5 linked regions of the Ovis aries genome follow. The protein of the gene in region 1 binds, or shares a complex with, the protein of each later gene. Links are inferred from orthologs where the notes say so. Each region holds a gene or a part of one and is shown on either strand. Other genes may lie near its edges. The genes, in order: CLTC, GTSE1, ARRB1, DLGAP5 and CLTB.

What was found.
Region 2: the proteins of CLTC (region 1) and GTSE1 are in contact, whole or in part, in a crystal structure (PDB 6QNP), measured with the Homo sapiens proteins. The link is inferred for Ovis aries from reciprocal best matches to the Homo sapiens genes CLTC and GTSE1. Residues at the interface, in NP_004850.1 of Homo sapiens: Val50, Arg64, Pro65, Ile66, Ser67, Ala68, Leu82, Lys83, Ala84, Thr87, Gln89, Phe91, Asn92, Ile93, Lys96, Ser97, Lys98, Asp143, Arg144, His145, Trp164, Gln182, Leu183, Tyr184, Ser185, Arg188, Lys189, Val190, Ser191, Gln192; in NP_057510.5 of Homo sapiens: Ser686, Arg687, Pro688, Leu689, Ile690, Asp691, Leu692, Met693, Ser707, Pro708, Val709, Val710, Gly711, Gln712, Leu713, Ile714, Asp715, Leu716, Ser718.
Region 3: the proteins of CLTC (region 1) and ARRB1 are in contact, whole or in part, in a crystal structure (PDB 3GC3), measured with the Bos taurus proteins. The link is inferred for Ovis aries from reciprocal best matches to the Homo sapiens genes CLTC and ARRB1. Residues at the interface, in NP_776448.1 of Bos taurus: His12, Leu13, Gln14, Gln16, Asn17, Leu18, Gly19, Val50, Asn56, Asp57, Pro58, Ser59, Asn60, Ile62, Arg63, Arg64, Pro65, Ile66, Ser67, Ala68, Lys78, Ile80, Leu82, Lys83, Ala84, Thr87, Gln89, Phe91, Asn92, Ile93; in NP_776668.1 of Bos taurus: His30, Ile31, Asp32, Leu33, Val34, Glu35, Pro36, Pro96, Thr98, Arg99, Tyr173, Pro175, Lys355, Thr374, Asn375, Leu376, Ile377, Glu378, Leu379, Asp380.
Region 4: the proteins of CLTC (region 1) and DLGAP5 are in contact, whole or in part, in a crystal structure (PDB 7ZX4), measured with the Homo sapiens proteins. The link is inferred for Ovis aries from reciprocal best matches to the Homo sapiens genes CLTC and DLGAP5. Residues at the interface, in NP_004850.1 of Homo sapiens: Val50, Arg64, Pro65, Ile66, Ser67, Ala68, Leu82, Lys83, Ala84, Thr87, Gln89, Phe91, Ile93, Lys96, Ser97, Lys98; in NP_055565.3 of Homo sapiens: Gly833, Asn834, Leu835, Ile836, Thr837, Phe838, Ser839, Pro840, Leu841.
Region 5: the proteins of CLTC (region 1) and CLTB are in contact, whole or in part, in a cryo-EM structure (PDB 6SCT), measured with the Sus scrofa proteins. The link is inferred for Ovis aries from reciprocal best matches to the Homo sapiens genes CLTC and CLTB. Residues at the interface, in NP_001139599.1 of Sus scrofa: Gln1291, Arg1293, Gly1294, Phe1296, Lys1326, Phe1327, Gln1354, Ala1355, His1356, Pro1382, Thr1383, Glu1413, Phe1414, Lys1415, Pro1416, Leu1417, Gln1444, Pro1446, Leu1447, Thr1473, Glu1474, Glu1475, Glu1503, Leu1504, Ile1505, Arg1508, Leu1533, Lys1535, Met1538, Lys1562; in XP_005661527.2 of Sus scrofa: Pro100, Ser102, Trp106, Gln110, Leu114, Ser121, Thr124, Glu125, Trp128, Arg129, Ala132, Asp135, Leu136, Trp139, Val147, Asn150, Lys151, Asn154, Arg155, Asp158, Tyr162, Glu191, Trp192, Lys194, Val195, Leu198, Cys199, Asp200, Phe201, Cys209.

The regions. Positions count from the first base shown.
Region 1 is NC_056064.1:10,341,256-10,347,010, reverse strand, and holds part of CLTC (clathrin heavy chain 1), read right to left. Parts: intron 5,695-5,755; coding exon 5,584-5,694; intron 4,627-5,583; coding exon 4,456-4,626; intron 4,091-4,455; coding exon 3,869-4,090; intron 2,623-3,868; coding exon 2,602-2,622; intron 1-2,601. UniProt on the Homo sapiens protein: Clathrin is the major protein of the polyhedral coat of coated pits and vesicles. Two different adapter protein complexes link the clathrin lattice either to the plasma membrane or to the trans-Golgi network.
Region 2 is NC_056056.1:222,511,244-222,517,735, reverse strand, and holds the start of GTSE1 (G2 and S phase-expressed protein 1), read right to left. Parts: upstream 3,918-6,492; 5' UTR 3,863-3,917; intron 3,535-3,862; exon of another isoform or gene 3,424-3,534; 5' UTR 3,361-3,423; coding exon 3,339-3,360; intron 1-3,338. UniProt on the Homo sapiens protein: May be involved in p53-induced cell cycle arrest in G2/M phase by interfering with microtubule rearrangements that are required to enter mitosis. Overexpression delays G2/M phase progression.
Region 3 is NC_056068.1:53,211,067-53,216,821, reverse strand, and holds part of ARRB1 (beta-arrestin-1), read left to right. Parts: intron 1-916; coding exon 917-1,001; intron 1,002-1,429; coding exon 1,430-1,502; intron 1,503-2,456; coding exon 2,457-2,594; intron 2,595-3,913; coding exon 3,914-3,997; intron 3,998-5,212; coding exon 5,213-5,236; intron 5,237-5,755. UniProt on the Homo sapiens protein: Functions in regulating agonist-mediated G-protein coupled receptor (GPCR) signaling by mediating both receptor desensitization and resensitization processes.
Region 4 is NC_056060.1:65,698,404-65,703,042, reverse strand, and holds the end of DLGAP5 (disks large-associated protein 5), read left to right. Parts: intron 1-262; coding exon 263-312; intron 313-2,618; coding exon 2,619-2,759; 3' UTR 2,760-3,247; downstream 3,248-4,639. UniProt on the Homo sapiens protein: Potential cell cycle regulator that may play a role in carcinogenesis of cancer cells. Mitotic phosphoprotein regulated by the ubiquitin-proteasome pathway.
Region 5 is NC_056058.1:35,592,141-35,598,665, forward strand, and holds the start of CLTB (clathrin light chain B), read right to left. Parts: upstream 4,368-6,525; 5' UTR 4,177-4,367; coding exon 3,990-4,176; intron 1-3,989. UniProt on the Homo sapiens protein: Clathrin is the major protein of the polyhedral coat of coated pits and vesicles.

The sequences.
Region 1 (5,755 bases):
CATTACACTTGATGTAAACTAAATTTCAAGTCTCAGTGTTATCTGTTACTAGAGGGTTTCAAAGTCCTAGGGGTGCTGAGATGGGGAGGCAGAGTGCAGAACTTTTTTATGAGTGTTCATTCCATGTCCTTCAAAAAGGCGAATAGTGAAAAATCACTCACAAAAAAAAGACATGCAGGACTTCAGTGAAAAGGCTTTAAAGACTTGGTCCCAGAAAGGTTAAAGCAAAACCTAGTTTCTATTTGCAACTATTTTAAAAACAGTGTTTCAATCCTACACAGGCCATTAAGGTTAGGACAGTATGTTACATGTATTTTAATTGTTTTATAGTGAGTATCTTAAATGTGGGTCTAATTTACCCTAATTTGTCAGGGAGCAAAATGTGAGAAAAGTGGTAAGAGTCAGACTCAGACACCTTCACACAAAATGTGGTTTTTCTACCCTGGGAAGATGGGTTATTAGTTTGCTTGAGTATTTCATTTTTTAAATTTTATCACCTAAGGGCTCATGTGTTAAAATTACCCCACTATCAAATTAAAGACTACTATGGAGTATAAGTACCACAAGAAACACTCACTGTTTGGCACCCAAACTTAAAAACAAAAATGACTACAGCTCTCTAATCTAAAGTACAATCTGCGCCACCAAGGACAGTCAGATGGGGTTTTGCTAAGTATCCAAGAGTGAGCTAAAGAAGTTATTTTTAAAAAGTACATGGATGAGTGTACATTAATAACGTCTAAGAAGAAAAATCAAACAAAAAAACCCACTGAATAACACATTGCCAGACTTTCAAGGAAAAGATTCTAAAGTGAACATGTGTTTAAAAGTTAATGTCTGAGTCGGATGTTGAAGACAGAAGTCTGTTAAAGATTTAGAAGAGCTAGCAATGTCATAATGCCCAGGCACAGACATAGGCAGGTTGGGCAAAGAGACAAAACAAAAAGTAACAACTGTGAAGGAGGAGCATCATGCTAAGCAAAAATTGATTTTTCTATTTAATGGGACAGCCTCTGGCTCAGCAATATCCAATTATTGTTTCCAATGACCCAATTTGGACTCCTCCAAACAGAAAAGCAGAGAAGGCTTTTATGAACACAAGCTTTTGTTAAGAGCTGTAACAAAAGTTTCTGATCCTTGGATTAAAAAAGAAAAATTACAGGTAAGCATGTCACTGAGTTCAGTTCCATCTGTACTATTGAATATTCATGATAATGTAAAAGGCTTTTCCACAGAGACTGCAATACGCTGCAGAGGAAAAGTTAACATGCAGTCAGTTATTTTGGTGTATGTGTGCATGAAAAAAAGGCAAAAGTACTGAAGCAAGAAGTGAGATCTGAAGATGACTGTTGCTATACAGGCTCTCAAGAAACACACACAGCCCACAGCAATGCTTTAAGAGTTTCAAAAGTAGTATGATGTAATTGCAATGACTGTTGTACATGCTTGATTTAAAACAACGCATAACACTGCAGTTCAATTACCTATTTTTCACACACACGCTTTCTAACTGCCTTGCTTACTAGCTGCTGAAGGGCCTCACACACAATGCATTTTACTCAGGTTTGCCCTAAGTTCCAATGGTGACTCCAGTTTGGTTCAATGTAATTCCAAGGCACTGTTCCCCCCTCCAAATTATTTTAAATTGTTTTAACTGTCCTTTATCTTCCCACCCTTTTCTCACCATAATTTGATACCAGACACAAGTTTGTAAGTTTGTTTCATTTATACGGGGATGGAGACAAGCCAATGAAGGAAGCAGCAACCAAAAGGTGCCTAAATTTGACTTTGGACAAGCCAAAGGGATGAGTAACAGCAAATTTGTAGCTTCAGAGATGTACCTTATTATAGAAAGCAGAAGTTAATATGGTTCCATATTTTACAGAAATAATCCAGTTGCTTAGCAACAGTTATAGCAAGCTAATCTGATGATTGTAAAAGTTTTGATTTCTCTTGAAAATGAACTAGCACCATAAGAACTGGACACCTGGAGAAACATGAGGAAAGTCTCTTCGGAAGCAGCTAGTATCTCTTGTATCTACTTTCAGCAAAAAATTAGTAAGAATCAAGAGATCAGAAACTGGATCACAGTCCTTCAATACCAAAAAAAAAAAAAAAAAACCCAAAACCAAAAAACCCCAAAAAGCCTTTTAGGGCATATATATATACATATTTAAATTCAACAACTGTCAGGCACACTCACAAAATAATACCAGAGGCTGTTTAATTTTACTTAGAATATTGATAAATCCTATTATGGTCCAGATACCCTGACAGGGAAGAGAAATCTCCTGGAACTTTGGAATTAATATGGAAACTCAACATGCTCAGTTTTTAATAATATATTTAAGAGAGACTGTGAACCAACTACTGATTAGCCTCCTGCCCTTCCTAAAGCCTATTAGCCGATTAGTAGCAAACATCTACTAATGTCCTAGAGCTCTATTATAGTTATATTTTAAGGGACTTGCAGAGGCTTTAGTGAAAATTTATTGGGGGAAAAAGCAGAAGCAGCAGTGTAGAAAAGGAAGGAAAAAAAATCATGCAAATTCCTTAGACTTAGTCCTCCAGACTTAAAGATGGAAAAGAATCAACTTTCACCTTTTCCTTTATTGCATCAACCTGCAAAGGAATTCAGAAGGTGCAGCTTAGAAAAAAATCAAATTCCATATTGAGCATAAAAAGGTAGAATCAGCAACAAAGGTTTAGGGGAGAAACATCTAACCACTAAAAAAGGTATGAGAGAAGTGAAAATAAAGGGCATACTGGAAGCAAAACTCAGAATTTTTTTTTTTTAACTTCAGAGTTTATTTGCAGAAGAATTTATGCTAGAGTCAAGTGTGAAAGAAAGCAGCTTAATCGCTAGTAAAATTTACAGCACTTCAGTTAACAGCAGCTTAGAGCCAGGTCTCACAAGTTGGCATTATGCATAAGAAAAGAAGCTATTCTCATCTGTGGCTAAGGTAAGACAACTTTCTTTTTCCTCTTACACTGGATTTAAGCAGTTTCTACACAGAAAAATGTTAATTCTCAAAAAAACTGTAACTTAACACAATGATATCTAATTGGATGGCAGCCCAAGGAAATGCTCAGCCACACTGGGGGTTGTTAGTAGTGCACCTCCCACCCTGACACACGCCTTTAACTCAGACATGCTGAAAAGACCAGACGCAAAACTGACTTTAATAAGCATGTTTTGCTTTGACAAAATGGATCCTTTAGGACCATTTTAAAATGCTCCACAGCAGGACAGGGTAAAAACATCCTAACATCAAAAACAAATACTAAGAAGAATAAGTTAATCTTATAAGATGATTATACCCCCAGCTTGTTTAACGCACTTTTAGGAAATGTGTCATTAATTGTTAACCTCCTGCAATATTTTTTAATAAGGGGTTAAACTATCAAAATATTGAGAAGATTAACAGGACATTAAGAATACAGCTGAAGCTTTCCCATGGGAAACAGGCATACGTATTAAAGTCAAGAACCAACCAAAGAGAAGGGAATCTACACTACTAAGTAATGGTCATCTGAGTTACAAGAATTGATTTGAGGAAGACATTATTTTAACACAAAATGTTTCTATCAAATGTTTAAAAAAAACAAAGACAGAAACCCATACAATATGGACGTAATACTATGTGCTGCTCAGAAATACATTCTGTGGTATTCTGAGTATAAACATTTTGCCAAGATATGTCTGAGTTACCTTTCCATTCAATGTCATTTGTCAGGTATTAAAAACTACTGGAGAATAGGAATATTTCATGATCAACTAAATTATTTAGAGAAAACCTCTGGAAACAAAGTCTATACATGGATTCTACATATCCTCAGGCTGATTAGTTCTCAGAGGCGCCATTACCTTTGTCAAGTACTCCTTCATGACTTGGATGAAATAGGGCATGGCGAAGTCCATGATGTTGTGCCTCCATGCAGTTTCCAAGACAACATCTGGCCTTAACAGATCGTAACAAGTAAAGAGACATGCTCCAAAGCACTCTCTTTTTTCTTCCTGCAAAAACCACTGTAGGAGCTCTTCAGCCAATTCAGTATCTTTAGATTCAGAGGCATACTGCATTGCATCCTATTTAAAGGAAAGAAAGTAAGTCAAACATTAAATTCAAATATGATGAACTGATAAATTAAATAACGCAACGGGGGAAAAAAAACTCAGTTATATCATTTAAATTAAGGATTTCCTGAAAGAAAAGGAAGACAGAGGAAAGCATTCTCTTTTTAACAGAGAGGTCTGACAGAAGCATATGACAGCCTCCAACATTAAGAAGTGACATAACTATTATCTCCTCAACTGGGAGCTTAAAGGCAATTCCCATATTTGCAAAAACTAATACCTTTATAGACCATAATCACTTCTAATATGCCATCTTAGGACTCACACAGATCATCTAGTTCTTGGCTTAATAGGCCCACCCCACCATCTTTCTTCACCTTGTACAGGCTATCTTTCTTGCACAGCTCTACACTCTGTTTCCAGCGATTATTGCCTTTGAAGAGGTAAGCAGCAATTCTTCTGAACTCAATGAGTTCATGCTTTTCCAAACGCTGAGCAAGTGAGATATTGTCAAAGTTGTCATAAGCATCTATCGATGTTCTCAGAGCCTTAAAAAATAAAAGAAAGCCACTGTAATGCCAAACCAGTATTTCATTTTAGTTTAAATTTTATGTTCCATCATTCTTGATCAATGAGCCGTTACTGTATATAACTGACTGCGTGTAATGTGATCAGTATCTTGCATAATGAATGTTTAATAAGACTTGATCAATCAGCCATTATTGTAATTAAGACAGCCTAGATTCAAGAATCAAACCATAAAGTTATACTATGAACAAGTATCAACATTGCTCAATCTAACTGTTTAACAATAAGGTCCTTGAAGGCACTATAAAATTTCTAGGCAACAATTTTCTCCAAGGTTTTTGGTATCAAGAACTAACTTGAATGGTTATGAAACTGCAAAGATTTGTAATTTGGAGGGTAAGATTTTATGCCCTAGGGAAACTCCTGATACAATTCAACATGGTATTCAGTCATAGAGATCAGCACTGGGTCTGCACCTGAAAGAAAATCATGTTGACAAGAAGAGAAAGAAAAGGCAATTTAGCTTAACCTTAACTTTTTTATATTTCTGCAAAATTCTTCACAAAGGAAAGTTTACTAAGAGACAGGTACTGAATAAGCTATTGGGCAAGAGAAACAGTGAATAAAAAAGTTAATACCATATAAGGTTTATACACTAGTTTAAGAGATCAAAAACTTTTCAACTCAATCTACAATCTAGATGTTTACAGATGAAGTAACCATAGTATTTTTCTAAAGCATTAACTTGGACTCTGCAAACTTGGCATTTAATTAGAAGACATCATGTTTATCAATCCTGAAAACCTGATAAATTTAGATCCAAGGCATACAAGTACCTACTGTTTACAGTCCTAAGGGATGATAGGCTTTTTTAACTGCAAAACATACCAACTTTACAATTTTGAGAATTGTAAATCTTGAGGAAAAAATAAATTTTGTGAATTTTGAGAATATGTGCAAGAACCAAAATGTTTTACCTGATAATCTTCTTCTGTAATAAAGAGGTTGTTCAGTGATTCATTCACAGATTTGTTGTTGTGGTTCTGAACTGAACGCAAATAGGGTTTCACCAGTGGTAGCTGTTTAACCTTTAAAAGAAGGGTATGTTACAAATGTAGTACATTGCTAATGGACAAAGTTATCCAGGAA
Region 2 (6,492 bases), on another chromosome or scaffold:
GATAAAAGGGGAAAACGCGTTATTCAATGAACGGTATTGAGATAAACTGGATAGTCCTCTGAGAGGGAGAAATATATGCACCTGAAGTTTGACCCATAGCTCATAGACTATACCAGGACAGATCCCCAAAAGGTCCAAGACTTAACTGGAAAAACGAAACCCAAAAGGAACAAGAAACCACGGGGAAATCGCTGTACAGCCTGGAGCGCGGAGGTCTAACTCTGACACCACAGGGAAATCTCTGTATAGCCTGGAGTGCAAAGGTCTAACTCTGACACTGTGCTGGAAGCCATAAAGCAACAGGTTGATAGCCCAATATATTAAAGATGTAACGTCTCGCGTGACAAAAACCACCGCAAGCAGAGCTGGCAGGAGCAGCAGACAGGGAAGAGAACACGGGCGGTCCCATCGCAAGGGCTGCTGGCGAGCGCCCCACACACGGGAAGAGCAGGCAAAGGACAGGAGCAAAGCGAGGCACGGGGGCGAAAGGGGACGTTCTGAAACGCACGACCGGAAGCTCAGTCACACTCAAAAGCAAGAGCCATGAAAAATTCAGAGACGGCCAGGACTCCAGTTTTCACTGGTAAGACTGTTGAAAATCTAAGTTTGATTTGTAAGTTACTACAGCTCTACGGAGGGTAGCCTGACAGTACCTACCAAGAAAGAAACGCACACACCCTGACGGGAAGCCTACTGCTGCTGTCAAATACCCCACCTGGTTTACTGCAGCAGCATTTGCAATGGCGAGACACCAGCCACAAAGCCAAGTTCCCCGATGGCAGATAAGCGCACAGCACAGCCCCACAGTGGAATGCAAGAAGACCTGGGCTCGGGGAAGAGCAGCAACACTTCCTATATTGATACACAGAGCTCATCAAGATAAATTAGAGGCAAAACCCAAGATGGTGCCCAGGGTTCTACCTGCTATAGAAGAGGGGGGCTGGACTGACACGTGCACAAGTCAGGTCTGGACTGCCCAGGAGGCCGAGGTCAGTGGCCTCTGGAGGTGGTAACTGGGCAGCGGAGGGGCAGAAAGGAGGAGGAGATGGACTCCTCACTTTCCAATGTGCCTAAAACCTAGGGAGTCAGTTTCATGGGTCACTACCAGAAAATTCCAAACATCTGCTGTAGGGAAAGGAATCCTGGGCCGGGAGTCAAGGGAAAAGCCTTCCACACCAGGCTCCGCCACTGGCTCAGGGTGACCTGGGCTAGCTGCCCCCTCCATCCACTCTGCAGACATGGGCTGCATCCTCCGCTAGGTGCTCCTCGGGGGCACACTGTCCAGCGGGCACACACCTTGGAAGGTGGTGTGGGGAGGGGCCACCGGGAAGTGGGGACACCTCTGAGGCCAGTGGCTGGAGGAGGTGGAGACACAGGTCAGGTCAGATCCTGGGTGGCATCCAAGCCATGGCAAGCTTTTAATTTATTCAGAGTGCAACGGGAGCTATCGAAGGGTTTTAAGCAGAAGAGTGTTGTGCTCTAACTTTTGTTTTTAAAAGGCCACCCTGGTGGCCTATAGCACACCCTGGATGTGCTATAAAAGCAGCAGGCGGTATCTACTGAAATTACAGTGCACACACTGGCTAAAGTGCAAAATATACATGTAGGCGGCGGCGAGTTAATGCGGCTGAGACCAAGGTGGTGGCATTCGGGTGGAGCTGGAAAGAGGTAGATGGATCCAAAACACACCGTGGAAATGACAGTAACTGATGACTGAACAAATGCTTCACAACCTTCTCAGCTAGGTCAATGGACAGGCAATCGACTTCTATTACAGAGACAGTAGAGAAGGAAACGGCAACCCACTCCAGAATTCTTGCCTGGAGAATTCCATGGACAGAGGAGCCTGGTGGTCACAGTCCATGGGGTCACAGAGAGTCAGACAGAACTGAGTGATAACTTTCTTTTCACTTTTCACAAAGACAAAGAACCAGCCAAAAATGGGGTGGGAGGTGGGACCCGCTGAGTAAGAGGTGGGAGACATTCACGTGAAGACGCCAGCCAGCTAGGTGGATGCAAAGCCCAGAACTCAGAGGAGAGGCTGCACCCCAGACAAAACGTGGGCACCACCAGAAGATGGAAGGGTTAAAGGACTGTCTGAGAACCTGCAGGAGGGGAGGGGGAGTTCAGAGAGACCCCAGACCAGGTCCTGGGGAATTTGGCTTCAGAAGGTGGGACAGAATGAGAAGTCTGCAAACAGCTGGAGATATACCGGCCAGAGTGGACAGAAGGAAAAGCAACAAGCCAAGCTGGCCAAGTTTCCTGTAGGAGAAAAGGTCAAAAGTCACTGAAAGAACAGAAAAAATGACTGCGGATTTCGCAACACGGATGTGCTCAGTGACGGACAAAGGCAGTCTGGGTGAAGTGAGAGGGCAGAGAGGGTTCAGAGGGGTTGAAGGTTGTGGAAAAGAGCAGCGAAACAAGTGGGGAAAGTTCTTGCTCTGAAGTCTGGCTCTGAATGAGGCACACCGCAGCGGAGAGGGCGTGGAGCACGTGAGGGCAAGTCGGACAACGGGACCTATTTATACATCGGTGATGAGCGTGATGAGCATGAAGAACAGACAAGAAAAGATATAAAGATATAAAGGAGGGTGACACACAGAAGTCCTCAGGAAGCAGCAACAGGGGTTCGGCTGCATGTGGAGGAAAGGGAGGGCATACACGCGAGGGTGGAGGTCAGGCTGCAGCAGCAAACCCTGTTCTAGACCCGAGGAAGCGGCGCTGATGACTAGCAGTCTTGTGGTTGCTTCTGCAGAAGGGGGGTATTAAGGAGAAACTGGGGTACTCAGTCTCCCTGACTCGCACACATGTCGTGAAGACAAAGGCTATAAAGATGTCCCCACGCTTCAGCAGAAAAAGAGGGCAGGGCCCGTAACTCCTTTTGTGAGGCTGTGCTCTCACTTCACATTCACAGCAGACAGGAACAGAACAAGACAGCAAGGCTACAGGCCAGGCTGACTGGCCCGATGTGCTGGTAAAGATCCTGGACAAGTCTCAGCAAACAGACACCAGCAACCAGCCAAGAGGCAATATCAGCTCCACAGACCTGAGTGCCTACGGAGTATGTCAGGCCCTGGGGACACTGAAGTATATAGGACGGAGAAGAATCCCTGCTCCGCTAGAAGTCACAGCTGAGGGGTAAAGGGAATGTAGAAAACCCGGAAAAGAAAGAAGTCAGAGGAATGCAAAAACTCCGGGAAGACAGGGAGTTTACCGGGGCGCAGAGAGCGGGATGAGTACCGAATAAATAAACCAGCAAGTTCTCGCAGGAGCATTAAATCGACCTGCGTGTTCCCTGAGCCCCCCAGACCGACAGAGCTGCGGAGACAAGGACGTACCTTCCTTCTTGGGAGCCTCCATCTCCGCTTCTTGGGGGGGCCAGGCAGGCTGAAGGCACGTCGCTTCCTCCTTCCCCGGCCAGGGCTGTCAGAGGTCACAGCAAGGAGCAGGAGACAGAAGCGGGGCGGGTGTCGGAGCCGGGGTTCCCCTAGCCCCCCAGGGAAGCCCTCACCGTGCGGGCCACTGCAGCACCGGCTGGGCAGAGAGGGCCGGTTAGGGAGAGACCGCGAGGCCGGCAGAGGCCACCGCGGCCGCAGCCCAAGACCCTCCGCCCCGGGGCCCTCTCGCCTCTGGGCCGGCGCCATCCGAGGCACCCCGAACCGGGGCCCCGGATCCGGACAACCAGACCTCCCCGGCTGGGCTTCAAGCCGGGGGTCTTCGGCTTGAAGACCTCCTTCAGCCTCGCCGGAGCGCGCCAGGGGGGCCCCGCCGCCCCCGACCTGGCCCGACCCGCCCGCCCCGAGGACCGCTGACTGCCCCCCCTAGACAGAGCCGCACCCGAGTCGCCCGGCGACCCCCTTACCCCAGAGCCGCCGCGACATCCCAGCCGATGCGCCTGCGCCCTGGGTTTAAACGGGGCGCGCAGGAAGCGCTGCGGGCTGCTGATTGGCCGGTTTGAAAGGCCGCGGGGCCCGGTGCATCCTGGGGGTTGTAGTGAGAGCCGCAAGGAGAAGAAAAAAAAAAAAAAAAAAAGAGGGTGGCGCGCGTGCGCACTGTCGTGGCTCGCTGCGCGTGCCCGAGGTCCGGCCAGAGCCGGGCCACACTGGGCTGGGGGCCTTAGGGCTGGCCTGTGTCTCCGTAGGCTCGGCATCAGGACAGCTACGTGTCGCAGGGGACATGGTTACGACACCAGATCTCCATCCTTAAGTGAAGATCCAACCCCTATGGTAGGAAATAGGTGCATATGCCCGCTTCGTAGAGCTCTGCGGGTTCCTTCTGGGGGCAAGAGAACCCCGTCCCTGCCCGCGGAGCGCCCGGTGACTCTGGATGACCAGGCACCCCAGTTTATGCCCCTGGAGCACCCTGACACCTCGCTTCTATTTAGAGGCTCCCTCTGCAGCCTTCGGCCTCGCTCTTTGCGGTTGCCTTCACTTCTGACGTGCTGGGTACGCACCCCTCGACCCTCCTGAGCTTCTGTCCACCGGCTCCCTTCTGAGTTCCATCACCTGTTCAGGAGCCTACTTAACTGCAGAAGAGAGATGGGGCCAGACAGACCCAAGGCAAATCCCAGCTGCAGATACTGGTCACGAGCCCCGGGGTTGCAAGTAACAGAAGACCAGCCTCAAGTTGGCTTCAGAAAAAGAATTTATTGGCTGGAATTGGGAAGCCCAGGAGCAGCCCTGGCTGCAGGCGTGCATGGAGAGAGGGGCTTGAAGGAGGGCACTAGGTCGAACTGTCCCCCAGCAGCCACTCTGGGTCTTGCTCAGCTTCCCACAGGAGCCTTTATTGAGCCCACTCGCCCGGGGCCCCAGGCTTCCCTCTGCCTGCCGGGGCCTCCTGAAACAATGGCCGGCTTAGTGTGTGTGCTCAGCCCATGGTCCCAAGGCCTGGGTTCGCGTGATTCATGACCACAGGGCCACTGTGGCAAGAGCCCAGTGGGTCCTAGACTCAAGGGGTATTCACCCAGGTGTCAGATCCACACAGCCCTGGGGGTGTCTGCTGGGGGCCAGGGTCCCCAAACGCCCACTCCCAATCCCCCTCCCCCTGTATCATGTCAGCACGTGAGACTCGGTCAGTGAACACACCAATTGTTAATAACTCACTGCGGCTAACTGAATTCTGCCTTCATCCAGCTCTTCTCGTGGGCCCCTCCTCTCTTCTGTCAATGGCCTAGCTACTGTCGATTCTTTTCTTCCTGTCCCCAGTAGGATTCTGCTTCATTTTGTAATGCACTCATTCAAGGGCTCGTTCACCAGTCATGGGTTCACTGACAGGTAGTCAGGGCGAGTTCCGTGCTGGGTGATGCTGGGACACAGATGTCCCTGATGGGGAGGGCACAGCTGGGCAGAAAGGTGCAATAGCAAGGACTGTGGGACCCTGGCCTGCAGTGGGAGGCCGGAGGCCTTCCTGGAGGGGGGGGCCAGGGTTCTGGCTCCCCTGGCCAGGCTGTATCTTGCTTGGAACCAGGAGAGGGGAGGGCATATAGGGTATGAGCAGGGGAACTGGCAGGAAGGGACAGCTCAGAATGGGAGGGCAGGCTCCCCTTGGGATGTGTCCCTAACTCCTGGGGGCAGACAGCACCTCTCTTGAGATCCCACTGTAATGACTCTGCTCTTGACTCACTGCCCTAACCTACCCCCATGTTCAAAGAGAAGCCTGTCTGCCCGGGACCCAGCCCAGGCCTGGCACATGGAGGAGGGTCAGAGGTGCCCACCCAGTAACAGTCAGGCAAAGGAGCCAATCAACTAATGTATTTTAACCCCAGGAAATGTGTCCAGTCGATTTAGAGGTGTCTGCTGCCTCCTGGAAGACCTGCCCCCTCCCTGCCCTGTGAGTCCCTACCCTAATCTCAGTTTGCACTGAAGGAACCTGAGAAGCTCCAGTGGGCTGAGACTGTCTCTCACAGCACCACCGAGTTGGACGTCAAGGCCGGGTTCCCCGTGGGGAGGGAGACAGAGGCAGCAATTACAACACTGGCTCAGATCTTGGTAAAGCCAAGTCACAAGGCTTTGGTTTCTGCCTCCACACTCAATCCTCACACCTCAGAAAGCACAGCAGATACGAGTGTGCATACGTGTGATTAAAATCAAGGTTGACAAAAATAATCGACGAGGACCTACTGAAGAGCACAGGGAACCCTACTCCATCGTCTATAACCACCTAAATGGAAAAAGAGCTTGAAAAGGAGCAGACGTGCGTATAGGTGTAACTGGATCACTTTGTTGAAACTAACACAATATCATAAATCAACTGTATTCCCATGCGAAGTAAAAACTTTTTAAGAATCATCGTTGACAATGTGCAGTTTAGAATTAAGAGAAAATCAACCCAAATCAGTGTCACTAAAGCCCCAGGAGAAGCTTGCAGATGTCTCTGCAGACACAGCAGAAGGGCTAAGGGCCCAGGCACTGAGGTGGGAGCCCCTGTCTCCCAGGAGGCAAGGGCCCCCACTAGTTGGGACCCTGGGCAAGTCACTCCCCACCATGGGCACCC
Region 3 (5,755 bases), on another chromosome or scaffold:
CACACCCTCTGGGATTCCCCAGGTGGGAGCTTCTGGCTCTAGCCCGAGGACCACAGCACTCAGGGAAGCTGAGACCTCCTTGGGAGATTTGGGGAAGCCTCTGGGGACTGAAGGGGTGACAGAGGAGGGGCATGAGCCTGAAGGATGCGGTTGACTTCAGAAGTCAGTGTGCCTTCTGAAGAGTCCTGGGTCCTGGCCGTCTCCCTGCATCCCCATCCCCCTTTGAAGTGTGAGCACCCCCTCTCCCTCTTGGGGGCACAGTGAAGGCAAGTGCTTGGGCCGAGATACAAATTGAGGCTTCAGTGAGGTTTCAGAGCCAGGGACTTGATGTATCACTTACTCCAGCCCCTCCAATGGACAGCGGGGGAAACCGAGGCTTAGATAGCCTGTCCAAGGCCTTACCACTCTCATCTTTATTATTGTTAGTATTACTGTTATCATTACTTTTGGTGACCAACCCAGGACTGGAACCCAGGATTGTAGTGTGCTTAGTCACTCAGTCATGTCCAACTCTTTGCGACCCCGTGGACTGTAGCCCACCAGGCTCCTCTGTCCATGGGGATTCTCCAGGCAAGAATACTGGAGTGGGTTTCCATGCCCTCCTCCAGGGGATCTTCCCAACCCAGGTCTCCCGCATTGCAGATGGATTCTTTACCATCTGAGCCACCAGGGAAGCCCAGAGCCTAGAATTATTACCTTCTAATTCAATTATCTTTCAAGGTCCACAGAGGAACTTAAGTCTAACATGCCTGGTGGCTTAGCATCAGTGGGAAGTGACTGATGAGCTTGGGGCCAATGTCAGAGTGGCCAAGGCCTGGGGAACCCCAGGAAATGTGTGTGGGGCCTCATTTCCCTCCCCTTCATCTAAAGCTTTGGAATCTTTCCCCTCTCCCTGGCTACTTCTTCCACCTCCCAGATCTACTACCATGGAGAACCCATCAGCGTCAATGTCCATGTCACCAACAACACCAACAAGACAGTGAAGAAGATCAAGATCTCGGGTACCCAGGCAGAGGGCCAGTCCAGGGGACGGGCAAGGGGACTCCTTCCAGAGGTTGGGGGCAGCCGAAGGCTCTCTCTTTGCTAACAGCCCTGTAAATAACTACTAGCCTGAAGGGAAGACTAAGGCCTGCTCTACGCTGAAGGGTAAGGCTTTTGAGGCTGGTAACGCAGGCTGCTTACTGGCCAGGTAATGAGTTTCCTGTTGAAGCCCTTCTTCTAAGTTCCCTCGACAGAGCTGTCCTTGAGGGGGAGATTTTTGGTTATGGAAGGAAGTGGGCCTGTTCAGGCTGCCCTTTGGGTGGAGGATGGGGTCCATCTCCTGCAGAAACTCCTGGTGGCCTCTGGCTGTTAGCTGGGGCTGAACATCCTAACTCAGAGAGCCTGGGACCCCTGGACTCACCCACCTCGTTTCCTTCTTTCTCTGCAGTGCGCCAGTATGCAGACATCTGTCTGTTCAACACAGCCCAGTACAAGTGCCCTGTGGCCATGGAAGAGGCTGAGTAAGTGAGCACAAGCCCAGCCTTGGACGGGTGGAAACAGCTGGGGAAAAGAGAAGCCCTGGGTCCAGTTACAGGTCCAGTAGCTCTTCTCCACCTCGCAGAGGGTCTGGCCTTAGACTTGCTGCTCAGCGTAGTTGGCCCTGAATAGCTTTTTTAAAAACCACCCAGCCACTTGGTTTAGCTACAAGGAAATACATGCTTCAGTCAGGGTAAAGACCCACTAAAACTAGAATGCAAAATAAGAGCTAGTGAATCTGCGAGGAGTGGGGCTGTGGAAACCTAGATTGCCTGGAGCCTTCTGAATTGGGGTTGCCGCTGCCCCCAGTGTGCAGAGAAGGAAGTGGGGGCAGAGAGATGTGACTTGCTCAACCTCACAGGGCTGGCCAGTGGCAGCTGGGGCTCCAAGGCTTGCTGCACCCCAGCTCTCTTATTGTTGAAAAGGGGTTGCGGGGTGGAGCAAAAGTAGGTAAAAACTGAACAACCCAAACACCTTACACACGATGGACAGAGATGAGATACAGCAAGTAAGGTCTTCACTGTAGAACTTAGGAGGTGAGTGATCACTGCACAATTCTTTCAGTTTTCCTATATGTTTGAAATTTTTTCATAGTAATACGTTAGGGGAAAAACAGGCCACACTCTCTCCACTAAAAAAAATTATCCTAGTCATACAGCACAGGGCCAAACAGTACAATGAATTTTTAAAAACTTGCAGCTGCTTAGAAACCACGAATGAAGCTGATGGATCACCTCAGAGTCCCTGTTGTTTGCATGTGGAGCAGAGATGTCCCCTTTTGGGTGGCAGTGGTCTCCCTGCCAGAGCTGGTCCTAAGGGTGGGCCCTTCACAGGGGAGGGAGGCTTAGAGCAGGGCTGGGCTCTGTGTCCTGGGTGGGCCGGGGGTGAGGCTGGGGGTGGCTCTGGGGGCATCTCCACACTAGTCCCCTTCTTTCCAGTGACACAGTGGCACCCAGCTCTACGTTCTGCAAAGTCTACACGCTGACCCCCTTCCTGGCCAACAATCGAGAGAAGCGGGGCCTCGCCCTGGATGGGAAGCTCAAACACGAGGACACAAACCTGGCCTCCAGCACCCTGTGAGGACCCACCCTCCCTAGTCCCAGGCTCCCCACTGTGTGTTAGTCGCTCAGTCGTGTCTGACTCTTTGTGACCCCATGGACTGCAGCCTGCCAGGCTCCTCTGTCTGTGGGATTTTCCAGGCAAGAACACTGGAGTGGGTTGTCGTGCCCTCCTCCAGGGGATCTTCCCCACCCAGGGATCAAAGCCGGGTCTTCTGAGTTGGAGGCAGATTCTTTACCATCCTCCCCCAAATGGATCCACACCCACCTTGGTCCCAGCAGGGCCAGCACAGGCTCAGGCTACCCTCTCCCTGACCATTGGCCAGGGCCCGTCCTCATGAGCTTGAACTGCCAGGGAAGCTGTCGCCCAATCCCACCCCTCTCCAGGGGCACCCAGAGAACACGATGGACCACTCCACCCGGCACCCTTAGTCAGTGCCTTGCCCTGGGGAGGGTGACATGGAGAGGCTTTGTGCAGGAGGCAGCTGCTCCTGACCTGGTCGTGTCTTCAGCTGGATAGAGTGCGTCCCTGAGGCAGAGCAAGGCTGGAAGGAAGGATGGAAAGAAGGAAGGATGGAAAGAAGGAAGGAAGGGCAGGAGGGGCTTCTGGAAGGGTCCTGGGAGGAGAGGATGAATGAGGACAGGGTCTGGGAGTCCAGAGAGATGAGGGTGGTGAGCTGGGCTCAACCACATGTGGAGGTGTCTTGGAAGGAAGGGATCCCAGGGATCTTACCCCAAGATCACCACTGCCTCTCTGAGGCCACCCTGCTCTAATGGACACCGGGGGTTATGAGGACCCCTCTTGCCCTGCCTGCTGAGGTCTGGCCCTTCTTGGGGCCTGACCCACCTCTGCAGCACTTCTGCTCCCGATTCTAGTCCATACGCTGTCTCACCCGCCCTTGCATGTGCTACCCACTTCCCTTTTCTTCCCTGACTCAAATCCTAGTTGCCTTCAACACCTAGTGAGCGCACCACCTCCTGCAGGGTCTTTCCCTGTGCAGGCTCCCCTCCCTTCGTCTGCCCACTGCCCTCTCCTCTCTGCCAGCAGCAAGAGAAAGGGAAGCCACCCTGCAGGAAGAGCCCACCCCTCACCTCCTTGCTGGGACTCGGCTCTGGGAGGGAAGGAGCTGGTTCCCAGCGCAGCACAGCCAGACTTGGGGCCCAGCGCTCTGAGTTCTTGCTCCGCAAGGGCAGGCCTCGCCTTTCTCACACACCGGGCTCCGCCTGCACCTGGTGGCTGAGTGGTCAGGAGAGGGACCTGTGGTGCTGCCCTGGCTCACCCCATCCTGCCGTGTCTCACAAGACCCATGAACCGGCTTCCCTACTTCGCCTTGCAGGTTGAGGGAAGGAGCCAACCGGGAGATCCTGGGCATCATTGTTTCCTACAAAGTGAAGGTGAAGCTGGTGGTGTCTCGTGGTGGGTGAGTGCTCCAGCCCAGCCCAGCCCAGCCCCCAAACGGTGGGCGGGAAGGTCCCTGACGGCCACACCCAGTGCCCCATTCTGCCTGCTTGCCGGATCTTGCCTTGTTCCTCTTCCTTCTCCTCCACCCTTTTCCCTTTCTGCTTCAGAGGCTTTCAGCCCCTCTCTTTCCCTCCCCTCTTTCTCTCCTCCCCCTTTTCTTCATCCTCCTCTTTTAACTCCTCCTCCTCTTCCCCGTCCCTGGTCTGGGCACATGGGAGGTGGCGGGAACTTCCTGAGTCTGTGCTGTGGGGTTTCCAAGGGGTGCTGTGCCCCTCATCACATCTCAGGGCACAGCACCCACCATACCCCCACTTATGCCCAGGGTGATCTGCTGGGGAAGCGGCTCAAGGAGCTCAGAATCCCAGAGCTGGGTTGAGGGTGCTCTGACTGTCCCATTTTACAGACAGGGAAACAGAGGCCAAAACAGTTCCCCACACATTTCCCCAAATCTCCTTCTCTAACCTCAGGTCACAGGCTGGGTGCTGGGGTAACGACAGTAAACCAAACATATTCCCTGATCAGAGCAGAGCCGGGTGGAAGCCCAGAAAGAACTCGCGCTTTTCCCCATATACTGAGCCAATAGGTTGCTGTCAACCTAGAATTAGGATTTCTAATTTGTCAGAGGGATTTTTTTAAATTCATAAATTTCTTTGAAAAGATTGGAAAGCTAGTAGCATTAGATATCAGGTCTCCTTTATTTTTAGAAAATGCCTCCTGTGGTGGTGGTGTATAATACTGGCGATGTATTACAGGACATCTCAGAATTGCAGATCTCAAATCCTGTGTCCTCTGACTCTTGCAAGACCCTGGGGTCTTGTGCCTCAGGCTCCTTCTTGAGGCATCCTCAGGGCATCCTAAAGTACTTCCTTCTGCCATTGGATAGCCCCAGCTTCCCCAGAGCTGGCAGCACAGGGCTGAACTTGTGTGTCTCCTTTACAGATGAGGACCGTGGGGCTGCCCTCGCAGGGAGTTTGGCTGAACCGGGCCTGTTCAGTCCCCCTGGCAGGGCTCACACCACTTCTGTATATCCCTGATGAGCGGTTATACCTGGGGTGGGTGGAGTGTGTCCCTGGGTCTAATCTACCCCAAAGTGTGGTGAATGAACTTGCTTTCTGTTTTCTTCCTCTCTGAACTCTCTCCTGACCACTTCTTCCGCCTCCTCTGACCCACCCAGCCTGTTGGGAGATCTTGCATCCAGGTAAAGCCCCTCCCTTCAACCTGATCAACCCACCTTCCTGAAGGGCCCAGAGAGCATTGTCCTGACTGTCCAGAGCCATGGGCCCTGGGTAGGAAGGACGCTTAGCACTCAGTTTTTTGATTGCCAGGCTCAGGCACGTATGGGGACTAGGACTCTCTCCGGAGGGGCTGGGGGGGTGCGGTTTCTCCTTTCAAACCTTGCCCTGCTCTTCCATCCCATCCAAGTGACAAGGACCTTTGCAGACAGCAAAGTGGGCTTCGGTGATCTGGGAGTGGCCCCCAGTCAGTCTGTTTTACAGGATGTTTTGGATAAACTCGGGCTTCGTGGCTTTCAAACCCTTCTACATGAATGAGAACTAACTGCTGGCTGAGTGTTGCTAAGAAGTCCTGAGGAGCTCTGCTTCTGTAGACAAGACTCCTTGGAACCAGCTGGATCCACATGCATTTTCCACAAATTCATGTGCCCCAAACCCAGTGGCTTTGCTTCCTCCTGTCCCAGGAAGCTAATATTGCTCATCCC
Region 4 (4,639 bases), on another chromosome or scaffold:
TTATAGCGTTTTTTGGGTACCTTTAAATTACAAGCATGAGATTTATTTAGAGAAGACTTAGTATACTGAAATTAAGGATGAGAATTTTACGAAGAAATTTAACTACATTTAAAAAGATATAGCATAAGATGGCCCACGTTTTTCTTCGCCTTTGATATTTGGAAGTTTTCATATCTTTTAAGTCTGTCCTTTTCTAACAACCCTTAACTGCGAGAATATTCTTTAAAAAGTTAAAAATTATTCTTTTTTTTTTTTTTTTCAGTATTATGTGATAATAAAAGTCTCAGTACTGGATGCCATCTTCTTGATTCAGTAAGTTTTCAATTTATTTGAAAAGTTCTTTGTATTTTAGATTTGTTTTATAAAATGAGCGTTATTTTTCAGTTTATATGCACAGTTTAAAATGTACATCTTATCACTATTTACTCTGAAGTCCTTTTTTGTTTATTTTTTTCTCAAAATGGGGAAAAAATTTTCATATACTTTATAGTATGCTTTAGTATTAAACTGAAGATTTAATTCTTTATATGGTTTATGTATCAAATTTGTTGTGACAGATTGGTTGAATACTTAGTATGCTTAGTATTTCTCAGTGATGCAAGAAAAGGATAACACAAGATTATACCCTTTTGAAGTATACAGTTGAGAAGAAAATGTCTATCCTATCTTCAGTCATCAATGCTTATTTTCATTGTAATTCTTTTAGATTGCTGTTTTTATGTCCTGTTATTTTATTTGGAAGCCCCCCGACCTTTACTTTTTAGTGACCTCTTGCCTCTAAGTCTAGTCCAAACATTTGCCTGTCTGTGAAGCCTTCCTGTAAAAGCTCTCATCTCTCATCTGTTCCTCTGTAGACAAAGGTGTACAGTACATGCAGTACACACATTTAATCTCTTTTTGAGAGTATAATATGAATAAACTATTGCATTCGTAAAACATACGATGCTTTCAGGAATCTATTTCCCTTATTAACTGTAAGTTCCTCTTTGGGCAGAGCTGTCTGATTCATATTCATGGATGCTGGCACTTAACATTTAGGACATAAATGGAAGCGTGCTCTCTTGCCTGCTGAGTCTCTGCAGCATTGGTTTTCAGCCCCACTCCCAGATATTTTTATTTCAGTGATCTGGTTTTGGACGTTCACCAGGCAATTTATGTAGCCAGGGTCAGCAACTCTGGTTTACAGCCTTACCTGGAAATTTTCCAGGGACAATTGTTAAAATGAGTCAGAGAATGGGCTTTTTTGCTAATCTTCAATCTCAGAATATTAAAAAATCATTAAGGCAAATGTAGAATAAAACAGCAACAGTTTTTGTTAATCTCACGAAGCCTGACGAATGCTTGGCTTTCTTACACCACTAATTCCTTAAGGACCTCTGACTATGTTGACTTTTTATTATCTTTCAAAGCTGCCTTCTCCATATTCAGCCTTCAGGGCTCGCTGCATCTCAGGAGCAGAATGGTTTCTGTGACGTGCACTGTTCATTCTTGGTTTCAGCCTTCTTTACTCAGAGGCTGACACCTAGACGGACAGGGATTTCAGCATGAGGCCAGTTTATAGAAACCTGATTTAATCTCGTTCCCAGTTCTCAACTCTACATGATTGGTTCTGATAATATGTATTATAAATAAGTCTAGAAGTTAATCATAACATTCTGTTTTTTGATATATTATTAGTAATATAATTAAAATTGCTTCACAGTTATACATTTTCTTGTTGATAAATCTTAGTATCTTATAACTTAGTCTCCCTGTGAGTTATTTTCCATTCCCATAAATATTAGGATTTATATTCTAGGATCTTTTTAATAGATATACCTTTAGACCCACACGATTACCAGCATAATTTAAACCTGAAGTAGGGCTTGAGGGAGAACAAAGAGAAGGATCCTGGCAGGATCACACCAGTAAAAGTTCTGCTAATTACAGTGATGTGGACTAGGGTGTGTGGAATCTGCCTAAGTGGCTTCAGTTTTAGTCACCCTGCATACGTTACTGAAGTCTGTCACCTTTTAAGGCATGTATTCCTTTTTAGAAATATTTATTTTTTAAAAATTTATTTTTCACTGGAGGATAATTGCTTTCCAATGTTCTGTTGGTTTCTGCCACACAAAAGCATGAATCAGCCATGAGTATACATAGGTCCTTTCCCTCTTGAATCTCCCCCTCACCTCCCATCCCATCCCACCCCTCTAGGTGGAGCTTCCTGTGTTATGCAGCAACTTCCCACTAGCTAGCTGTTTTATATATGATAATCTATATATTTCAGTACTTCTCAATTTGTCCCACCCTCTCCTTCCTCCACTGTATCCAGAAGTTTGTTCTCTATGTCTGCATCTCTATTCCTGCCTTGCAAATAGGTTCATCAGTACCATTTTTCTAGGTTCCATATATAAGGTATATATTCCTAATATACTTTTCAATTTTAAAAAATCTCTATTTTGAAATTAGATCCATGGAGGGTAGCATAACATTATGTTACTAAGAATTTTATCATTGTGTACAAAAAATGTTGTTTATATTATTAATTAATCCACTACTAATTTGAAAGATTGAACACTCACTTGGTAAAACTCTTGATAATTACTTCAGTGGCTTCTCTTAAATTTCTTCTCTAGCCAGGCCTGAACTGCAGTAATACATTCATTCAGGTGGAGAGAAGACATCAAGAACAGACCAGACACATTTCCTTTGGTGGTAACCTGATTTCCTTTTCACCTCTGAGGCCTCTCAGTGGAGAACAACCAGAAGAATTTTAAATTTAAAAATAAATCCAGACATCTTTCTTCATGTCATCAGTGCTGTGTTCTTAGAATATTGAAAAGTTGAAGAGTGTTTGTGTTCAGTGCTGTTCAAGCTACTTGTAGACTGTTGACCCTCCTTAGGTGGATGCAGAACCTGTGGATACTGAGAGCCTGCTGTTAAGAGATTTAAGCATCCTTGAATTTTGGTATCTGTGTGTGTGTGTGAGGGGACGGGGGTGATCCTGGGACCAATCCAACCACCCCCCTCAGGATTCTGAGGAGTCATTGTGTAATATTTTAATATTCAGTGTTCATCAAAGTGTATTTTAGCTATGATACTATTTCTCAAGGGAAGTGGGGATATGTTATATATTAACCAATGCAGAATAAAAATGTACTGTGCCTTGCCTCTCTTGTTTAAAATGTATAAGCTTAAGTATATCTGCTCAGAGCTTACTAACATTCTTCAGTTTAATTGAAATATAATGTTAAACTTTGACAAATATTTGCATTCTTTTATACTTTATTCTTAGTTTGAACTCTTAAATTTGTTGATATTGAATAGCTTACATATTGCATTTTCAGGGTATGTGGAGTTTCTTTAGCTATCAATCAGTATATTTGGAATACTTTCTCCTTTATAAAACTCTTGACTGTAGGATTGTAGAAGACAGGGGCATCAGTACGACAGAGCACTAAGCTGACTCATAAGTAGCGGAAGCTTCCCATCAGACCTGGGGCCAGTTATTTCTGTTTGCAAATGAGGTGAGTATTGGGGGTATTCACTGAACAAGCAGCACCTTTATGGATAATTCTTTAAGATGAGGGCCTTCCAAACAAGAAAGGAAAAGCACATCCACTTTTGTTAGAGGAAGTTGTGTTGGGCTTGTAGAAAAGACAGTATTATCAAAGTTGGGAGTTTTCTAAGGGTCCAGGGCCATGAACATGTAAAAGAGATGAGTACAGAGCAACCCAAGACTTAGTACATACATAAAGCGATATGTGATGTAACAATAAGATAACATTTGCCCTCAAGGATGAAGTCAGTGTGTGCATACTCGGTTGTGTCTAACTCTTTGCAACCCTGTGGACTGTAGCTTGCCAGGCTCCTCTGTCCATGAGATTTTCCAGGCAAGAATACTGGAGTGGGTTGCCATTGATAAAGTAGATGAGACTAAAACAATGTCAGTCAGTAAACATGATTTTTTTTAGGTTTAATAAGATGTACTGTTGAATCACTTAGAAAACTTTTGGCTGTTAAAGTAACAATGCAATGAACTCCAATTGGCTTAACAATAGGAAGTTCATTATTATAATGTTGTCATGGTGATTTCAGGCACTTCACAGTCAACAGCTCAATGATGCATCAAGGTCCAATATCTGTTCACAGTTCATTCTGGCATCCTTGGTGTCAGCATCTCTAACGCTGGGTGCTTGGGGGTATAAGATGGCTGCTAGTGGTAATCAGAGCTATGTCCTTCCCTTTAGTTTGGTTAGGCCAATTAATGCCACATCTCCATCTGCATCTCATCTGGGATTTACTTAATCAGGATTCCCTGTTTTACCTGGGATTATATCTGGGTAAAACCAGGACTGTTAGGTAGCAGGGAATGAGTCAGGTAGGCAGCCGTCATTATGCCCTACAACTAGATGGAGTGTCCTTGGGCTACTGGATTCTAGAATTATGAGGTATCAAGAAAACCTTTAAAGACAAAATGAAAGAAAACTGGGTAGAACCAGAGCTTTTCCAAAAATGAAAAAAGAAATGAGATGAAGTAAAAATATGAAGGCCTGTCCCCCTCTTGACAGCTCTAAAGGATCATCCCAGCTCAGAATCCCTGTAGGGTAGACTGAGGCGTAGATGCTCCACTTCTCTCTCTGCGCAGTCATGTACT
Region 5 (6,525 bases), on another chromosome or scaffold:
ATCCCTGACATTTGTCCTCTGCACTGCTCTCCTCCCCCGTACAGTATTTTGTCTGTATCACCTACCACAGCCTGATAAGTTCATTTTTGTACGTGCTAATTACCTATCTACTCCACTTGACAGCCCTCCAGGAAGGCAGGGACTTTGTTTTGTCTATCACTGGGATCCAGCACCTAGAACAGTGCCTGACATATAACAGGGCCCCAATAAATATTTGTTGAATGAATACATTGAACCTCGGACCATAACTCATGAGAACCTTTGCAATCTGGCCCTGCCCATTTTTCCTGCCTCACTTCCCACCAGTCCTTCCCACAAACCCTATTCTGGTTTCCGCCTTCCCCAAACACACTATGCCACATTCCATGCCTTTCTTCCTACTTCCCTCACCAAAGAATGCTCTTGGGGATCTAGTCATTCTCCAAAGCCCAGTTCACAAGTCACCTCCTCTGGGAAGCCCTCCACTGCTTCCTCTTTTACCCTAAGCACTGATGGAAGGTTTCAACTACCATGGAGTATCCTCAAACACTGTATAGCACCCCCCACCCTCTTACATGATTACTGTGACCTCCCATGGGTCATGCATTCCCTTTATCAGGCTCTGTATTCCATTCAGCTAGCTCCTATGGGTGAGCAGTCAGTATTGGCGAAGTGGAAGTTGAACTGATCTTTGGGGGCCCGCTGTTATCTGCAAGGCCTGAGGACTCTCAGAAACTGCAATGCCTCTTAGCCAGGAGCAGAGGGAGGCTGTACAAGACCATCCCAGATGGACAAGTACACTTCACCAGCCAGATAGAGCCGTGAGTCACAGTGACAGTGCTTTCAGCTTGGGGACTAAAGGGAGGGATCCTTAACCCCATGGAAACAATACCCAGCAGATATAAATTATAATCAATTTTGTTTTCAAACAGTGATCGATTTTAACCAACAGTTATCAGCTGTCCTCCCTGCTCATTTAGATGGAGTTTCTCCTATACCGTGGCCTGGTCCCTAAATCAGTGGCAGCATCTTCTCCAGGGGCATTTCCTCTACCAGAGTGTGAAGTTACCAGGGTCCATTCACAATGCCAGTCTGTGTACTTGGCATTTCTGGAGGGGAAGTTGTGCCCCCCCCCCACGCCACCCTGACCAGTCCCAGTCTCAGACCCCTCAACCACAGGAGCAGCCAGGGGCCCACCCTGTCCTTTAGGAAGTCTCTGCAACCCAGTCTCTCCATCCCATGGGTGCTGCCCTTTGGAAATGAGGCTTCAGCCTCTTTGGGAATCCACACACGCCCACACATGAAATTATGAGTCTCTGTCCTCACAGTGCTTTCTGACCAGCCCACGGCACGTTAATAATCGCGTGCCCAGTCCAAAGCCGGCAGAACAGGAGTGAAGCAGATAGGAGTCCCAGGCATGAGCCGTGGTTGAGACTTCCCTCAGATCCCTAATCCCCTTTTGGGACAGGGACAGATGGGGTCCAGAATATTCCTGGGAGCTTACTGAGTCACATCAGGGGGAAATGGGCTTGCCCAGGAAGTGACTGGGCAAGTCCAGGGCAGAGCCAGGTGGGGCACACAGAAATCTGGGTGTGAAAATGTAAACCTCCTGGGCCCTACCCAAGCTGATGAATGGAAACGAAGTATCCATTGCTCAGGCTGGCCGCAACTCCAGCCCCAGAGGAGGGACTCAAAGAAGCTCAGACTCAGGCCTACTCTAAATGGTTTCCCCTGATGTACATGCATGCCTGTGAGCTCAGTCGAGTCCAACTCTGTGCGACCCTGTGGACTGTAGCCCGCCAGACTCCTCTGTCCATGGGATTCTCCAGGCAAGAATCCTGGAGCGGGTTGCCACGTACTCCTCCGGGGGATCTTCCCAACCTAGGGATTGAACCAGCATCTCCTGCATTGCAGGAAGATTCTTTACCACTGAGCCATCAGGGAACCACCCCCTGTCCCCAAAGTCAGGGCACTCAGCACAAGGGCATCATTTAAGAGACAAGACTCAGAAGTGATGAGTGGTGCTGGCTGCAGGAGCTTCCATCCAGCTCCCAGCAGCCTAAGGCACATTTTCTGCAACTTATTCAGGCTTCTGGCAGTTATCCCTGGGGGATTACTTACTCATCACCATCTAGACCTAGGAGGGTCAGATCAATTCTATCCTATCTGGCCACCTATTGAGCTGCATCCCATAACTCCTCTCAGATCCCTGTGCTCTACTCAGCAGGGTAGCTGAACATTTGCAGCTTTAGTGGTTGTGAGTCCGGGAGACCCCCAGAGGGCCATGTCCCTGCTGCTTTCCCTGCCACCTCTGGTCTGGGGCCAACCTGTACCACCCCTGCTGGAGAGGGAACCTCCCATCCAGGCCATAAATCCCTGGAGTCCCACCATCCTAGGAGAGGTCACAGCCTATTCAAACCCCAGCCACATCTGCAGCCCTCTGCCTGACTTCTCCCTGCTTCTCTCTTAGATGGTTCTGACATGGGCTCTCCCAGCAGGGCCTCTCCCATGCCAACCTGACTGGGGAAGCTGGTAGTCTCAAGATGTGGGCCCATATTTTCCAGGAATTCCCTGGGGTGTGCCAAAGTGCTAGAAGCTGCTGCTCCTTCAGAAGACATCCACTGCTGACTTGGTTAGGTAGCAAAAGATCCTCCCACCTCCACACCCCATCACCTCCCAGGGTGATTGCCACAGCATTTGAAAGAATGTGGAGCCCAGAGTTGAGAGGCCTGAGACCTAGTCCCAGATCTGTCACTCACGGCTGTGTGACTTTGGGCAAGACCCTCAGGCTCTCTGGGCTTCCTGTTTCTTACATGTGACAAAGGGCTTGTTACATTTCTCACACGAAGAGGATACAGAGATGCTTTGAGCCCCTCAAGCCACAGGAACTGTCTTATTCATATCTGTATCCCCACTGTGTCTGGCACACAGAAGGTGCTCAGTAAATGTTGAATACAAATATAACTATAAGAAGCTTTACTTGTAAACATTTTTTTAAAAATATGTAAGCTAACACTTATTCTGACAGGCCCATAAACCCCCACTAAAATGACAACATTAACAGGAAACAAGGGCTGTTTGAGATGCACCCATGAAAATGATAGCTAGTTTCTAACTTTAAGAGATTGTTCTTTCAGGCAGAACTAGAGCAGAAACATTGTTGATAAACACGCTATTGCAAGGACCAGGCCCCAAACCCCAAGCCTGAAGCTAACCCCAATAGCCTTGGACCACCTTTGCAAAACCACTAAGCTCCAAACCCAGGAGGGCAGGATCACATCTGACTGAAGCCCTCTGTGCCCCTGCCCCCATACTGGTGTCTGCCTCAGAGCCTGGCATATGGAAGACACTGCGGCCAGGGGGAGAGGATTCAGAGTCTGAGAGAAATGGTTCAGCCCTCACTCTGCCACTTACTAGTTCTTTCAGTAGTGTGCATTTTGAGCCCTGGTTCTGCCGTCTCTGAAATGGGTGTATAATGCACAGGAAATGATGGAATGTTAAGTAAAGTGCCTAGAACAGTGGCCACAGGATGGCAGGTGATCCTCCAGGCAAGTCTGTAAGTTCTTAGAGCACCCAGTGCCTGCTGCTTTCCCAACTGAAGGAGGGAGCTAAGTCCAAGGGTCAGGGAGGTCTGAGGTCCTGTATACACCTGCAGGGCTCAGCCCGGGGCAGCAAGCCTACTGGGAAGCTCAAGGCTGGGCTGCTTTGGATTCCAGAGCCAGGCAGTGGCAGAGCTGGGTTGGGAATGAAATGTCATGACGAATTTCTATGCCGGGAGCCACCAGATCCTCAGCCTCAGGCGGGGCCTCAGATGGGAAACACAACAAGATCCCCCTCCCATTTCCTTCTCCAAGTCCCCCTCAGGTACACATACAGCCCCAGGCCTGCTTCTGGCTGGCCATAGCAGGCCTTCTTCGCTCTACCGCAGGGCCCGGAGGCCGAGGACCCCGGGTGAGAGCCCCAGATCCCCCCCGCCAACCCCCAGTACCCAGGCCACCGCGCTGACTCACCCCCACTGGCGGGTCCCGGCTGCGCGAGGCCCCCCTGGCTGCCGGCAGGTGCCCCAAAACCCTCGTCATTCTCTATGCCCGCAATCTCACTCTCCTGCTGGGCCAAGAAGGCAGCCGCCGGGTCCTCCTCGGCCGCTTCGGGGGCCCCGCTCTCCGACGACGAGAAGAAGCCAAAGTCATCAGCCATTTTCCCCGCGTCTCTGCCGAAGCGTCCGTCTGGTGCTCGGCTCTGCCCGGCGCGTGCCCCGCGCTGCGCCCGGCGGCCGCGGCACTGTCACCCGAGCACCCCGGGGGGAGCCGCTCGGCCTCGGCGGGGACGGGCTCAGCGCGGCGGCCCCACACTTCCTCTCCGCCACCGGGCCCGGCTCGCCTGTCACTGCGGCTGCAGGCGGGAGGAGCCGGGACGGGAATGCGGTGATGTCACCGGCCGAGGGAGGAGGCCCGCAGGACGGCCGGAGGTCGCCTCTCAGCGGCCACAGGAGGGCGGCAGCAGGACGGCGGCGCAGCCCCAGGGGCCCGGGGCCGCGCTACCCGCTCGCGGCCACCAGCGCGCGTCTCCAGGACACAGGACTGGCGCAGCTCCTGCCGGGTCCGGAGGCGAAGCAGATGGGACCAAGGGACCATCGCGTGTACAGGGTCACCGCAGGCTGGCAGCCCGGATTTCAGGAGCACCGAGGGGGTGGTCGCAGCGCAACCTGGCTCCTCCTGATTCATTCTGCACAAGTTTCTTCTCCAAGGCTCGGCGGGTGTTACGAAGCCCCGTTATCAGGAAGGAGCCTTGGAAAGGTAACATTAAGACCCACCGCTATATTGCATCCTTCCTGCAAGTCCAGGGTCTTCCCCACAAAACCATGTTGTTTCCGTACATTTCTTATGCATATCCCTTCATTTGGAGACTTCAGCTTAGGCCACCAGAGTTTGTGTGACCTGACGGGGTCTCTCCTTGGAGGTTGGATCCCTTCAATGTCCCTTGCTTCCCTGGTTGTTCAGACGGCGGTAAAGAATCTGCCTGCAATTCAAGAGAACCGGGTTCAATCCCTGGGTCGGGAAGATCCCCTGGAGAAGGACATGGCAACCCTCTTCAGTATTCTTGCCTGGAGAATCCAGTGGACAGAGAACCCTGGCGGGCTATAGTCCATAGGGTAGCAAAGAGTCAGACAGGACTGAAGTGACTTAGCAGTAGCAGCGAGTATGAACCAAATTGAGGAAGGCAAACCCAGCTTATCCAGGCAGCCTACCACTCCTCCACTCAGTCACCCTGAGTAAACAGACTTCAAAACATAGTAAAACCCAAGCTCTGGCCATGGGGAGATTACAATCTAGAAGCCCAGCAGATGGGAAATGGTCAGACATTTTTTCAGAGTGATAGGTGTTGTGACATTTAAACACAGGCTTGGGGAGTGCGGCGGGGGAAGAACCACCATCAGATCTTTAGGATTTTTTCTTTCTGATTTGAAATTTGAAGGTCAAAATAGAAAGGAAAGATGAGCCGCCCCTAACAGTGGGTTCCCTTAGTGGGTGGGAAGTGGAAGCAAAGTTAAACTGAAGGACAATCTCAGTTTTGCACAGTAATACTTTCATGTAGGTTTCACTTCTATGATGAAAATATGATCATTTATCAGTAGTGTGGGAAAGAAGGAAACTTCAGGCTCTGCACAACCTGGTGTAAGCTCAGCACTCCACCATCACTCATCTCACTCCTCTTCCTCATTACCCCAGCTGCAGCCTCAGGTGCTGAGAAGACCTGGAAAGTTTCCTAGTTTACCAAACCAGCCTTAAATGTCAACTCCAGGCTTTGTAGAGGCAGAAGTGAAGTGAAGTCGCTCAGTCGTGTCTGACTCTTTGCGACCCCATGGACTGTAGCCTACCCGTCCTCTGTCCATGGGATTTTCCAGGCAATAGTCCTGGAGTAGATTGCCATTTCCTTCTTCAGGGGATCTTCCCGACCCAGGGATCGAACCCGGGTCTCCTGCATTGTAGACAGACGCTTTACCATCTGAGCCACCAGGGAAGTCCTGTAGAGGCAGAAGGACTACCGAATGCACTGTGTGCCCTTTGTGATCACCCGTGGATGTACTTGCTTGGTTCTTGGAGACTTCAATGCCTCTGCCGGCACTCTGCCCAACTAGTTCCTCCTTCCTTCCTGCTCCTTCCTAATGTAACCATCAGCAAAATTAGTTACATGCTTAATTTATACAAGTTACTGGATGAAGCACAAGCTGGAATCAAGATTGCCGAGAGAAATATCAATAACCTCAGATATGCAGATGACACCACCCTTATGGCAGAAAGTGAAGAACTAAAGAGCCTCTTGATGAAAGTGAAACAGGAGAGTGAAAAAGCTGGCTTAATGCTCAACATTCAGAAAACTAAGATCATGGCATCTGGTCCCATCACTGCACGGCAAATAGATGGGGAAACAATGGAAACAGTGACACACTTTATTTTGAGGGGCTCCAAAATCACTGCAGATAGTGACTGCAGCCATGAAATTAAAAGACGCTCGCTCCTTGGAAGGAAAGTTATGACCAATCTA